Linked DNA regions of Caenorhabditis elegans. The protein of the gene in region 2 purifies or fractionates together with the protein of the main gene of each other region. This does not show direct contact. Each region holds a gene or a part of one and is shown on either strand. Other genes may lie near its edges.

Region 1 (3,711 bases), on a different chromosome or scaffold from region 2:
TTCAGATGCATAAAGCTATGGGCGAGATGTTAATTGAGTGCATTTTAAACTTTTCGGAAAGCAGAATTCTTCCTTATGAGTAAGCACTGCAATTTGCGTTTTCTACCAAGTAGAAATAATTTCAGCTTAAAAGAGTTAATGGACAGAGTTCTTGATGAGTATTTCCCGAGAATACAACAACACATTAATAAGGCTCAGACTTTTGAAAACATTTCTGAGTACTTGACTGAGCCCCAGAAACAGTTTGAACTGTTAGAAAAGACAGCAAAGGTATGCATGCTTATGAAAACTTCAATTTTCACATATTAGATTTTTCAGATTTGAAAAATGTTTCATAAACCCGCATGGTATCCTTGGAGATCCGCAGAGTCGTCATGTGCTCTTCCGCCCGAGTGCGGACAACTGGTATCGTGGAAACGCAATCTCTCAAGTACACAGCTTGATATCAAAAATGGAAACTTCAGTAGACGACGAAGAACTCTTAAAATATTCTAAGCAATTATCCAAGGAGATTGCTTTTGTAAATGTTGCATTCATTTGCGCGAAACATTCCTTAAACGAATTTTTTACTTTGTGATTTGTTTTTAAATAAACAAAACTAATACTCTAGTAAAAAATATTATTTCTGAAAAATTTCAAATGAAAAAACTGGTTTCAAAAATTTGATTCCTTAATGGTAAATAATTATTTAAAAAAAAACAAAACGTAACATTATTTGAATAGAAAATCATTAGAGGTGAAATAAAAGTGGCGAGAATTTTTATGACTGCAAATAATTTACACACGTTGAGAAACAAATAAAAAGTTAATTTAACTTAATAAAATAAGGCGTCGGATGACGAGTGAGGGAATGAATCAGTTTGAGCAGCAAGAATACATTGTAAATAATTATGGTAACACGGTGTCAAATTGAAAACATAGCGTTTTAGACAGTCTGTTGGAACTCTCCAAATGATTCTGTGTTGACAGGAGCTTTTCCGAGCACCGCAAGTTGAGCATCGATAAGTTGCATGAATTCCTGAGGGGATGGTACACGACCTGACTCGATTTTACTCCAGATTTGTTCATTGCCAAGGTAAACTTCGAATGCTCCAGTAGAAATGAGACTTTGTTCAACAAGGTTGCCGAGCATGAACACCAGCATACAGGACGACATCTTGTTTCCGTGTGCGTGCTGCAGAATCTGTGGGTATCCAAGACCAAATCTCTCAAATGGATTTATTCCACCTAGCACCAGCACGAGAACTGCCATTTTGACGAAACTGAGAGCCTAAAAATACATTTTATAAATAATCCAAGTCACTTCAAATTGAACAGTACCTGAGCAACATAAGCTTTCCAAAGAACCGGTGCAAAGTTGGCTCCTTCAATTGGCATATTTGGATACTTTTCTTTGGCAAAAGTGGTGAACTGGTCGAAAGCTTGCTTATAACCACATGAAACACTGAAAAATTATGCATAATTTCTAGTAGAACCTATATATGTATAAATATTACCAGTAGAAAATTCTCAATGTTGGAAGATCCTTGGCGTGGTGGACGGCTGTAGGCTTAACAAATGAGGATTGCTCCCGGACTTCAATATGATCTTCTTCGGTTCCTTGACTGAAAAAATTAAGTTTTGTAGCACTTGTTTGAAAAATTTCAGTTAACCTGTTGGAAACTAATTATCATGAACTTAGAAATTTTATTGAGCACCTTAGAAAGCTTGAAAAATTGAAAACGGTCATGCGTTAGATTTTCACTTTTTTGAAAATAAAATTGATTTTAATTTCACAATTCGACCTTTAAAAAAATAATACCTGAAGCTTTGTGAATCTGTTTCGTCTCCAAATTCTGCTTCAAAATCGTCCTTTTCATGTACGTGGTTCTCATCGTGTGAATGCTCTTCCGCTGAAACAGCTACTTGGGTTGTTTATTTCATTTATGATGTGTCACAACTTACTTCTCAGCACATCACAAACTGACATAAAGAAGAGAACTCCTATGATAAATACCCCAAACCGTGACATCTGAAAAATCAATAATGGCAAAAAAAACATCAAAACACTATAGAGAAGGAAATGAAATTTTTCATCATCTTTTTTGCAACAAAAAAAATTAGATAAAAATGTCAGAGAAGAACACATTTGATGAAGTGTTTTACACTAGAAAAAGCAAAGAAAGCGGACGCGCAGGAGAGTATGATATGACAGAAACACCCTCTCGACACACAAGCGGACAACACAGGGTATTCCAAACGAGCGCGCAGCACCAAGACCACTGCGGAGTCTCAGCGATCAATACTTGACTCGCCCGTAGCAAACGCGCCCCATCACTCGCCAGTGTCTGATGCCTCCGCGCCTCACACACTCTCTCGTTCTCTTTGAACGGTTCTCGGTGTGTGTATGCGTGTGTGTTTGGAGGACGTTGAGTCACCTCATATTCGCACACTCGCATAACCTTTAATTTTATGTGCACAGTCTTCTCTTTCCTTGTTTCTCATTTTAACTCGTTTTTTATTGTTCATTGGATATGATATGGGAGGAGTTGTTTTGATGTGATCAATACGCTACGTTATAGAATTAGTTTCTTTTTGAGATTCTTAATGGATTCTTGGTTTCCGTGAAGGTCAAACAGTCAAACACAAGAAATCGGTTTCCGAGAAAGTGAACTTTGTTGTCGTGCAATTGCAATATCTTATTGAGACTTTTTTACAATGAGTTAATTTCTTATTTTGGTACTTGTGTATTACATACTTTCATTTTAAAATTAATGAAAATGCTCATTGATTTCTCCGTTTAAATTGAACGTGATGTGGAATTTTCCTCGTTTGGCTCAGAAATGCTTATTTTCTAATTGTAAGCTTTAAAATATAAAAAAATTTCCACACTTTTTTATTTTTACAACTTAAAAATTACTTTAAAAATGAGTGCATGTAATACACAAGCAGTGTTTGCAAGTTTAAACTTCCTTTCAAAAAAAAATATGTATATCTTAATAAATGTTTTTCACCCCCAGTGTCTTAGAAAAATGTAATTGACCATTTCTCAAATCTAATGACAAACATCTTGCTTTTGCAATTCATCGTGGATTCTCATTATTTTTGAAAAGCATCTATCTTCTTTTCGTGCTAGCATCTCAATCTCAAAAAGTTACACCACCAACAATACGCATCTCACATTTGCCGAGGTGGAGTGGTGACAAACTAATTGAATCGCATCCGGATTCTTCCACTTCTCACTCCTGAAGGAAAACAAAAAAAAAAGGAACTTGCCCTTCTCATCCATCTTTTCCCCCAACCTAACCCATCTCACCTCAAATGCATTAGTTTTATGGGCTTTTACGACAGATATCAATGACTTGAAGAAGGAGGGGGAGTCACTACGTGTGTATGTGTATGTGTGTGGATGGCCTTTAGACACTAACATCCTCAGATGTTCTAAATTAACCGTCCGTACACTTTGCAATTTCTGGGGTCAGTGCCCACGACGCGTTTCCTCTGGCTCCACAATGACTCATCCGCAGATGTGTGAGGTCTCCCTTTCTCCGAGGTTTTCGTTTTTCAAATGCTCATTTGCATTCAAAACGATTCGTTCTTCACATTTTTCTTTCAATTCTCCAAATTTTCGGTTTTTGTTCCACGCTTTGTCATGTTTCTCTTTCATCACTTTGTTCGCTACCCATTTTAGGATTCTTTCCCCATTATTTTCTATTCTGCGTTTGTATTGTT
Region 2 (4,484 bases):
CCGATCTGTCAGATCCAGGACTGCGACGACGAGCTGGTGGAGAACGGCTTCTAGTGGGACTTCTGGATCGAGAGCGACGGCGTGGACTTCTTGAACGGCTGCGGTCACGGGTCTCATCCGTGCATTTGAGCTTTCTTCCGTTCAGGTCTTCACCTTGCAACTTGTTCATCGCATCACGCAAGTCGTCATGGGAAGTGAAGCATACGATTCTAAAAATAAAAACGATGAATTACATTTAAAAGAAGTGCATATCATACGCTTGGTTGACATTTCTCTTGTGCGCCTCGGAGTAGGTCGGCTCGATTCCCAGCTTGCGGATGTGGTCCTTGATGTCCTAAAATTCAGGTACAGGGTATTGATTGTTTGTGAAGTAGGGCCAGATTGATAGGAGGAAGAAGAATGCCATTGACTGAGGAAATTGATTGAGAGCAATTGAATTGCAAATTGTATTGGCAAATGGCACACCCACTGAGTTGCTGCTGTAGCATTCAAAATGTTCGTTTTGAAAAAATGAGTGACAGTTTTCAGTAAAATTTGGAACGGGGGTAGTATTTCGTTAGTTGTTCAATCACACTCAAACACGCAACTTGTGAATCGCTATGGCTCGCAGTCATGTATCTTACCTGCCAACTGTAACGAGTAGACAAATTATCGATCACCAAACGGAATCTAGTCGAGCACGGACGACTGTATCGGTTGGAAAACTGGCGCTCGCCGCCTTTTCTGAACGTTGGCTCACGTCCTCTGAAACCACTCCCACTTCTTTCCTCGTTGTACCCAACTTTACGCCGTGGAAACTCAAGAATGACTCTCTCTCCACAAAGCTCTTTCCCATTCAAATCGTGGACAGCGTCATCGGCATCGCGCTGGTCTTGAAAATCCTGAAATTATGACATATTCAAGATATTCTGACGAAAATATGTTATCTCTTACCACGAAACCAAATCCGTTCTTCATTATGACATCAGACAGCTTTCCATATCCGCGGAAGAAGTGCTCGACATCACGATCAGATGCTCTATTTGGCAAACGACCGATGTAGACACGAACCATGTTTAGAGGTCTGAAATAAGTGAAGAATGAGAAAAGTCAATTCAAAAGAGAGAAGAAATAAGAAAAGTCTGGAGAAATAAAAATTATTGTGGCCAGAGAGGAAGAGAATTTGGGCATTGCACATTAAATAGGAGGCAATATGTACATGCACATGCACGCGACGCGCTGAAATTAAGTCGATAATCAATAAAATGGGAGCACAGGACGATGCCACAGAGTTATAAAACGAGAAACGCGCAATGGTATCCCATTAATGCGTCAGCAGCGTTCTGACACGCACTTAGTGCTCTAAGCGTTGCGGTTGCGTCGCGGGTGCCCTCATTTGAAACTGATTTTCGCATTTTGTGCGGCATTTCTTCTTATTTTTAAAGTATTTCACTAATCCTGCATTGAATTTCGCCTGCGTAGGTGTTCAGGTTGATATGCTCTTAACTTTTCATCAGAATGCAAACTATAATCTTGTGGTTTTAGGATTTTATATGAAAATAAGTCGAATAAGCGCTTTAAGATGTTTTTTTTGTGATGAAAGGCATTGATTCACAGAATCTCAAATAAAGAATATCAAAGCAAAATGAGTCCATTGGCTAACCTGGATGTGAAAGCGTTAAGTGTTATATATTTACTTTAAAAAAAACTTCAAATTATTTTCAAGCTAGGAAACGATATTAGAACTTTAAAAAACGCAGAAAATCATCAAATTCGAAAGGAAGGAATTTTAGGATTACGCAAATGCAAGATCATTTTTTTCATATGTGGGTCAGAGTTTGAAACTAATTAGGAGAAAAACATTGCAACTAATTTAAGAAATGTAGGGCGCAGACGAGAAAAGAGTGGTTGTACGCAGAGAAAATGAGTGTGTTTTGAGTAAAACAGCTGCCCCGCTTATCGGCCAAGGTGCGCGTTGTTGTCATGGCTACATTGTCTGTGAGTGCGCTCTCAAACGCGCACATTTTGTGAATCGATAATCTTCTCGTCTTCAATATTATTTTTCTCCTCTGTGATACAGGCCATTCATTCATTCGCTTTCTTTTCAGCATGGCAGCTCGAATTTACATCGGTCGGTTGACTTCTCGTGTTTCTGAAAAGGACATTGAGCATTTCTTCCGTGGTTATGGCCAAATTCGCGACGTCCTACTCAAGAATGGTTTTGGATTTGTCGTAAGTTATAATTTCTAAAACCATTTCAGTTTCCTAATGTCATTTTTTTTCAGGAGTTCGACGACAAGCGTGACGCCGAAGACGCAGTTCATGATTTGAACGGAAAGGAGCTCGGTGGAGAGCGTGTCATATTGGATTATTCCAAACCACGAGGAGGCGGTGGCGACCGCGGTGGTTTCGGTGGTGGCGGTCGTGGAGGTGCACGAGTCAGCTCATACAGCGGTGGTGGCGGTGGAGGACGCGATAGATTCGATCGTTATGATCGTGGACCACCAAGAAGAGAAAGGTAATTGAATGAAGCGATAGTGGCAATAATAATAACCACTTACATTTTCAGTCGCTACGGTCGTCCATACAGCACTCGTCATCGCGTCGTCGTCGAGAATCTCTCATCTCGAATTTCTTGGCAGGTATGTAAAACGAAACGGAGATAGAAACTGTAATACATCTATTGAAACTTTATCTTGACAAAATACAACACGATCATCTCAATTTGTCAGTGGGAGGAAAACATCTTTCCTAATATTTTATATTTAAGCAGGAGAAGATTGTATGATAACTGGAGGATCTTGTTGTTGATGATGATTCTTGTGATTTGGTATCATGTGATCCCGAGCCTGTCTGATGATGGTCGGACCGCAGAACAAAGGGCGCAAAATGATTATTGGCTCTCCTTCTCCCGCGTAGTCTTGATGTTCTTGGTTCCTGTACTTTTTGGTCCTGCACGCTGGGATGTGATTTCGGGTTTTTGGTGTTCGCGTGGTTAGGCTGAGTGGTTCGGATGATCCCGCATCAAACATGTGCAAGGATTGCATATGGTAATCCCGATTGTGCGCTATTCACGCACATTTTTCACAACACCTTGGAAAGCCGTCAAATATCGACAGATGTAATTATGTAGCATCTTTATTGTGTTTTCAGGATCTCAAAGACCAAGTCCGCCGCCAAGGAGTTGAACCAACCTATGCCGAAGCTCATAAGAGACCAAATGAAGCGTAAGTTTGCAATTTGTAGATAGAAGATGAAAAATAACAAATCAATTTTCAGACTTCTCTGCTTCGCAACACCATCCGATCTTAAAAGATGCATTGAGAAATGCGATGGAATGGATTTGAATGGAAGAAAGATCAAGATGATCGACGACTCGCAAGCTGGACGCTCACGTTCTCGATCCAACAGTCGCTCTCGCAGCCGTTCTCGCAGTCGTGATCGTCGCCGCTCCCGCTCTCGCAGCTCGAGTCGCTCAAAGAGCCGTAGCCGTTCCCCACCAAAACGCTCTCGACGCGAATCGAAGTCCAAGTCTCGCAGCAGAAGCCGTTCTCGCAGCGCTGACAACAGGTATTGATATTATAAAAGTGATGATTTAAAAAACAAACTATTTTCAGAAAGTCTCGTTCGCCATCAAGATCTCCAAAGAAGGTCGATCGCTCTCCATCTCCACCACGCGGATCGCGTTCGCCTTCGGAAAAGGGATCCCCGAGACGTTCGAGAAGCGCATCTCCAATGGATAATGGAGACGGTGACAACTAAACTCGCTTCGGTTCCAAAACAAATGTTCCGTTATTTAATTAATCACTAAATTCAAATTTCCTTATTCCACTTCTGTTTCTCTTTTTACCCAAGCTGAATAAGCACAGTTCTCTGAACTTTTAAAATTTTTATTTGTTTATTTTATGGATCTCAAATGATAAATTTCGAGAAATTATGCACTTGTAATTATGGCTATAAGAATTATTAAAGCAGGAATGAATGTTAGAGAAGAAGAAGAACTCGTCGTAGTTTCAATATGAGATTCAACAGTGAGGCCTGTAATGAGATCAAACTGGAATTGCTGAACCATCGAATCCCAGAAGTTGTAATCAGATTGGAAAAGATCTGAAGTTCGAATTGTGTTAATGATTTTAAAGAGTTAACAGACGTTTATCAGTTGTTGGCTTTGGCCCGATAACTGTATGAGAAACTGATGAGTCGTATAAAGGCCAATTAAATTCCGAGCTTGAAGGATTTCTGAAAGTTTGGAAGCTACTGTAGGCTGCTATGCTGATACTTTTTCAGATACCCCGTCTTTATGAAATTTGTCAAGGATGTGATTAAAAATGCGGAGACTGTTCTATCATCGTCGTTAAATTCGAAATAATTGTCCTTGTAGACTCCCCAAATGTATGGGAATTCATGACAGTGATAAGTAGCCCGAACTGGAAAGTCTACATCAAACTCGGCTGGATTAAAATACGGAAAATGGTAAAGATAAAGATCAGGCGATACTTGAGATC
Region 3 (4,762 bases), on a different chromosome or scaffold from region 2:
TTTTAAAATTTTCTACGAAACCGATTTGAACGTTTCAGATTAAAAATTGCAAATTCTTGGGTCCCACCACGAAAACCAGAGTACTCCCGGCGGCATTTTCGTGGCGGGACCCAAAATGTGCGGAACCTAGTCATGATGGGTTTTATTTTAAAGGTCTCAATGTGATTATTTTGAATTTGTTAATTATTTCTCAGTTGGTGCAAAAAAAGTCTAAAAATTTAGAAAAAAATTAAAAAAAAAAAAATTTTTTTTTGAGATTTTTGGAAAACATAAAAAATTTTTACAATTTTTTGCTCATTTTTTAATTCAGCGTGTCAAGACTTTCCATTTAACACCCATATTGACTAAGCTCCGTCCACTTTGAAAACTTGGGGACCCAAAACAGGCGAAACCTAGTCATGATGGGTGTTATTTGAAAGCTCTAGGCGTGCTAAATCTGAAAATTCACGCCAAATCGGTTTTGAATTGAAAGTTAGCTCGAGCTTTCAAGAAAATAAAAATTTAAAAAAAAATTTCAAATTTTCAAATTTTATTTTCAAAACTACATAACTCTGCGAATTTTAAAGATATTCGATTGAATATAGTCTTAAAATGAGCGCAATCTTTTTGTGAGTTTAATGTTTAATTTAATAACTTGCAATGTTTAAAGTAAAATTTCTTAAAACCTGATTTTAAAACCATACCTGACTTGCCGTGCCATCCATCTTCCAGCTGATAATCCTGCTCATCCAATGCATTTTCCGTCTTTGGGTCCGAATCTTTATCAATATCAGGGCCCGTTTGTCTTTCCACCCACACTTCATTTTCTCGAAGCTCATTTTGTGGCTTTTTGAATTTCTGAAAAAACAAATTTTTTTACAAAAAAAATTTTCAAAAAAAAATTTTTTTTTCGAAAACCCATAACTTTGTTCATTTTCAAGATTTTTCCTTGATTTTTGACACGTAAATTTTCAAATTTTTTCGGAAAAATCTCTACCTCTTTATTTTTCACGATCACATCCTCCATCGGCAGCAGCTCGACTCCACCCCGTTTCAGCGTCACCTCCTTTACATGTTTCAGCCATTTGGCTGATTCTCTCGGTCTTTTTGCAGGATCCACACCTCCAGCGTTTCGATTTTTCGAAGCCGAAACTTCAGAAACTCGTGCCAGACGCCTTTCCCAAGCCTTTTCCCTTGCCATTTTCTCGTCGCGCCATTGTTGAACTTTCCAGTAGCAATATGCTCCAAATGCTCCAACAAACGCAGATTCCAGGAAAAGTACAACAAGCCAGCTGAAAAATTACAGAAAATTTGCGAAATTATCGATTTTCTTTCGAAATTATCGATTTTTTTCGCGAAATTATCGACTTTTTCGTGAAATTATTGATTTTTTCGCAAGAAAATCGATAATTTCGCGAAATTATCGATTTTTTTCGCGAAATTATCGATTTTCTTGCAAAATTATCGATTTTCTTGCAAAATTATCGATTTTCTTGCGAAATTATCGATTTTCTTGCGAAATTATCGATTTTCTTGCGAAATTATCGATTTTTTCGCGAAATTATCGATTTTCTTGCGAAATTATTGATTTTCTTGCGAAATTATCGATTTTTTTGCGAAATTACTGATTTTCGATAAAAGAAATGACGCAAGTTATCGATTTTTTGAACAAAAAATCAATAAAAATTATTGATTTTTCTTCAAAAATCCGACCAAAAAAATCAATAAAATCAACATAGATTATCGATTTTTCGAAAAAAAAAAACCAATTTTTCGCCGCCGAGCAATTATCGATGTCAAATTTTCACAACTTACACTTCGATTGGAATTAGGTCGAGAATGTCGGTCAGCGAATTAAACTGTTCAGCAGGTGGTGGTTTGGTTGAGGATCTGAAAAAGAGCGGTCATCGGGATAAACTAACGGGACAACGGATAGACTTACACTGGTGGAGTTGTTGAGGTCGGCGGGGCGGGTGTAGGCCAATCGACGAAACCTGGAAAAAATCAATAAATTTTTGTTGAAAAATCGATAATTTCGCGAATAATCGATAAATTATCAAAAATCGATAATTTCGCAATCGCAATGGCCACGTGGCTTTTTTTTACCGTCCTCTCCACGTCATTTTCAAAAAGAAATAAATAACAAACTCCACGTGTTCATCGAAAATATCAAAAATCGATAATTTCGCGAAAAAATCGATAATTTATCGAAAATCAGTAATTACGCAAAAAATCGATAATTTTTTAAAAATCGATAATTTTTTAAAAATCGATAATTTTTTAAAAATCGATAATTTTTTAAAAATCGATAATTTCCTGGAAAATCAATAATTTCGGGAAAAAAATCGATAATTTCGCGAAAAAATCGATAATTTCGCAAGAAAATCTGCCTCTTCCTATATTAAATCCTGAAATTGCATTCTTGACAGAAATAAAAAATAAGGGCAACTTTTCGACACGTGAGAAAATCGATAATTTCGCAAGAAAATCAATAATTTCGCGAAAAATCGATAATTTGGCAAGAAAATCAATAATTTCGCCAAAAATCGATAATTTCGCAAGAAAATCGATATTTTCGCAAGAAAATCGATAATTTCGCCAGAAAATCAATAATTCCGCGAAAAATCGATAATTTCGCGAAAAAATCGATAATTTCCCGAAAATCAATATTTCGCGAAAAAATCAATATTTCGCGAAAAATCGGTAATTTCGCCAGAAAATCGATAATTTCCCGAAAATCAATATTTCCCGAAAAAATCGATAATTTCGCGAAAAAATCGATAATTTCGCAAGAAAATCGATAATTTAGCAAGAAAATCGATATTTCCGCCAGAAAATCGATAATTTCTCAAGAAAATCGATAATTTCCCGAAAAATCCGATAATTTTGTAGAATCGAACCGTATCTTGGCGTCAAACCCCCGTACTTACTTAGCTCATATGGTTCCACGTGGCAGATGCCAAAAATCGATATGGTCACCAATAAAATCGACCACAATTTCATCTTGAATATTGTGAAATAAATTTTTCAATATCGATTTATCGACTTTCGAAAATCAAACGACGTGGTTCCCGACGTGGAATGTTTTTTGGCAATTTTTGAGTTTTTACGTTTTTATTCAATTTTTTAAAAATTTTGTAACTTTTTTAGTTTTTGAGATATTTTGTTCATTTTTGGCTTAAAATGTGCGAAAACTACCCACGTAAAAGATAAAATAAAAATTTTAGAAATTCCGGTAAAAACTACAGTACCCCACAACTTTTCGTGACGAGACCCAAAAAAAAATCAAAAAAAATCAGAAAATCACAAAAATTTATTGTGCGTCGTAGAAAAAAATCATGTCATTTCATAAATCAATAATATCGATTTATTTGTCGTTTGGCGGAGCCGCAAAGCAGTTTGGCGGGAACAGTGAAAACGAGTGGAATGCACTGCAAATCGAGTCTCGCCACGTGGATTCGTGGTGCTCCGCTTTGAAAAATTGCTGAATTCTGTGGATTCTTCTGGAAAAAATTAAAATTTTTGGTTTTAGAAGTTATTTTTGGATTCAGCGTGATTGATTACCCTTATCTATAGGTTTTCAGAGCTCTAGCTCAAAATCTCAAAATTTTGAAATTTGGCTGAGTAGCGACTCAGAACTGCGATACGGAGTCATAGTTTTGAAAAACTAACATTATCATTAAATTTGCCATACTTGGAAACCCAGAATCCTAAATTTTTAGCCATTTGCACTAAAACTGACCAAACTCCGTATCGCAATGGGTCGCTACTCAGCCAATTCTTGAAAATTGAGCTAGAAGGCCCAAAATTTTGGGATAGGGGTAATCAATGACGCTGAATTCAATAAAATTAAAGAAAACATTTAAAACTTGAGATTTCGACCAAAAAAATCGATAATTTGGCGGAATTATTATTTTTAAACAAGTTTTTTTCAAAAAAATTTTTTTTTTAATTTTTCCAAAATTTCAAAAACCTTTCTATTAGCAAAAAATCAATGAACTTACTCAATTTTTGTCTCATTTTTCCTCAAAACTTGATAATCCTCAGCACTCAGGTCATCCGAGTGTACAGAGTTCAACGATGCACCATAATTGATAGGTAGAGTCAGAATTTCAGAAATTTGAATAAAAAATATCAAAAATAATAAGGTTACTGTAGTTTTTCGCATGTTTTTTTGAACTTTTACATAGAGAAAGTGTAAAAAGTTTTTAGGGAAAAACTTGAAAAATCAAGTTTTTAAATACTTTTCTCACAGTCAGCGGGGGGTGGAATTCGTCATAAGACATGATGACGTCATAGGATCAATTTTGATATCTTTTATCAGTTTTTATCAGTTGCTACACGTGAGAAACAATGAAAAATTCCATTGTTTTGATGTTTGGCAAATCTGAATTCGCTGAATTCTTAGTGTACCTGAAAAGGGGTAGAGGGATACATTTTGCACCTAAGCAATGGGTGCAGATTTTTTAAAATCAATTTTAATATAGCGAAAAACTTCAACAAAATCAGTAAAATTAATTTAAGTTTGAAAAAAAAAATTTTGAAAATTTTTTTCCAATTTTTCAAAAAAAAAAACAAAAATTTTTTGGGTCTCTACACGGAAAGTTATGGGGTACTGTAGTTTTACGGGTTCTTGTAAATTCCTATGTTATATTTTATGGAAAAATATTGAGGGTACTATTTAAAACTAATCTAGGCTCAGAATCTTGAAAATTGGCAAAGTTATGGAGTTTTGAAAAAATTGAAAAAAAAATTTTTTCAAAATTTTTTGGGTCCCGCCTTA

The links.
Region 1: the proteins of rsp-1 (region 2) and selt-1.1 fractionate together in Caenorhabditis elegans (co-fractionation; one large-scale study listed by BioGRID). This does not show direct contact.
Region 3: the proteins of rsp-1 (region 2) and Y54F10BM.3 fractionate together in Caenorhabditis elegans (co-fractionation; one large-scale study listed by BioGRID). This does not show direct contact.

What each region holds. Positions count from the first base shown.
Region 1 is NC_003284.9:11,544,485-11,548,195, forward strand, and holds selt-1.1 (Thioredoxin reductase-like selenoprotein T homolog selt-1.1), read right to left. Parts: upstream 2,012-3,711; coding exon 1,945-2,011; intron 1,902-1,944; coding exon 1,802-1,901; intron 1,605-1,801; coding exon 1,497-1,604; intron 1,445-1,496; coding exon 1,321-1,444; intron 1,271-1,320; coding exon 926-1,270; 3' UTR 607-925; downstream 1-606.
Region 2 is NC_003280.10:11,451,893-11,456,376, forward strand, and holds rsp-1 (putative splicing factor, arginine/serine-rich 1), read left to right. Parts: upstream 1-2,087; 5' UTR 2,088-2,088; coding exon 2,089-2,211; intron 2,212-2,264; coding exon 2,265-2,497; intron 2,498-2,548; coding exon 2,549-2,621; exon of another isoform or gene 2,622-2,749; coding exon of another isoform or gene 2,750-2,767; exon of another isoform or gene 2,768-3,026; coding exon of another isoform or gene 3,027-3,029; exon of another isoform or gene 3,030-3,132; coding exon 3,133-3,206; intron 3,207-3,258; coding exon 3,259-3,549; intron 3,550-3,596; coding exon 3,597-3,741; 3' UTR 3,742-3,913; downstream 3,914-4,484. Other genes in the region: rsp-2 (putative splicing factor, arginine/serine-rich 2), read right to left, coding at 1-209, 258-334, 624-881, 934-1,053. UniProt on the Caenorhabditis elegans protein: Plays a functionally redundant role in spermatogenesis and growth rate control.
Region 3 is NC_003281.10:2,280,306-2,285,067, reverse strand, and holds the start of Y54F10BM.3 (Tyrosine-protein phosphatase domain-containing protein), read right to left. Parts: upstream 3,044-4,762; 5' UTR 2,983-3,043; coding exon 2,910-2,982; intron 1,974-2,909; coding exon 1,922-1,973; intron 1,870-1,921; coding exon 1,795-1,869; intron 1,272-1,794; coding exon 977-1,271; intron 838-976; coding exon 684-837; intron 1-683. Other genes in the region: Y54F10BM.22 (Neuropeptide-Like Protein), read right to left, coding at 3,347-3,482, 3,984-4,147.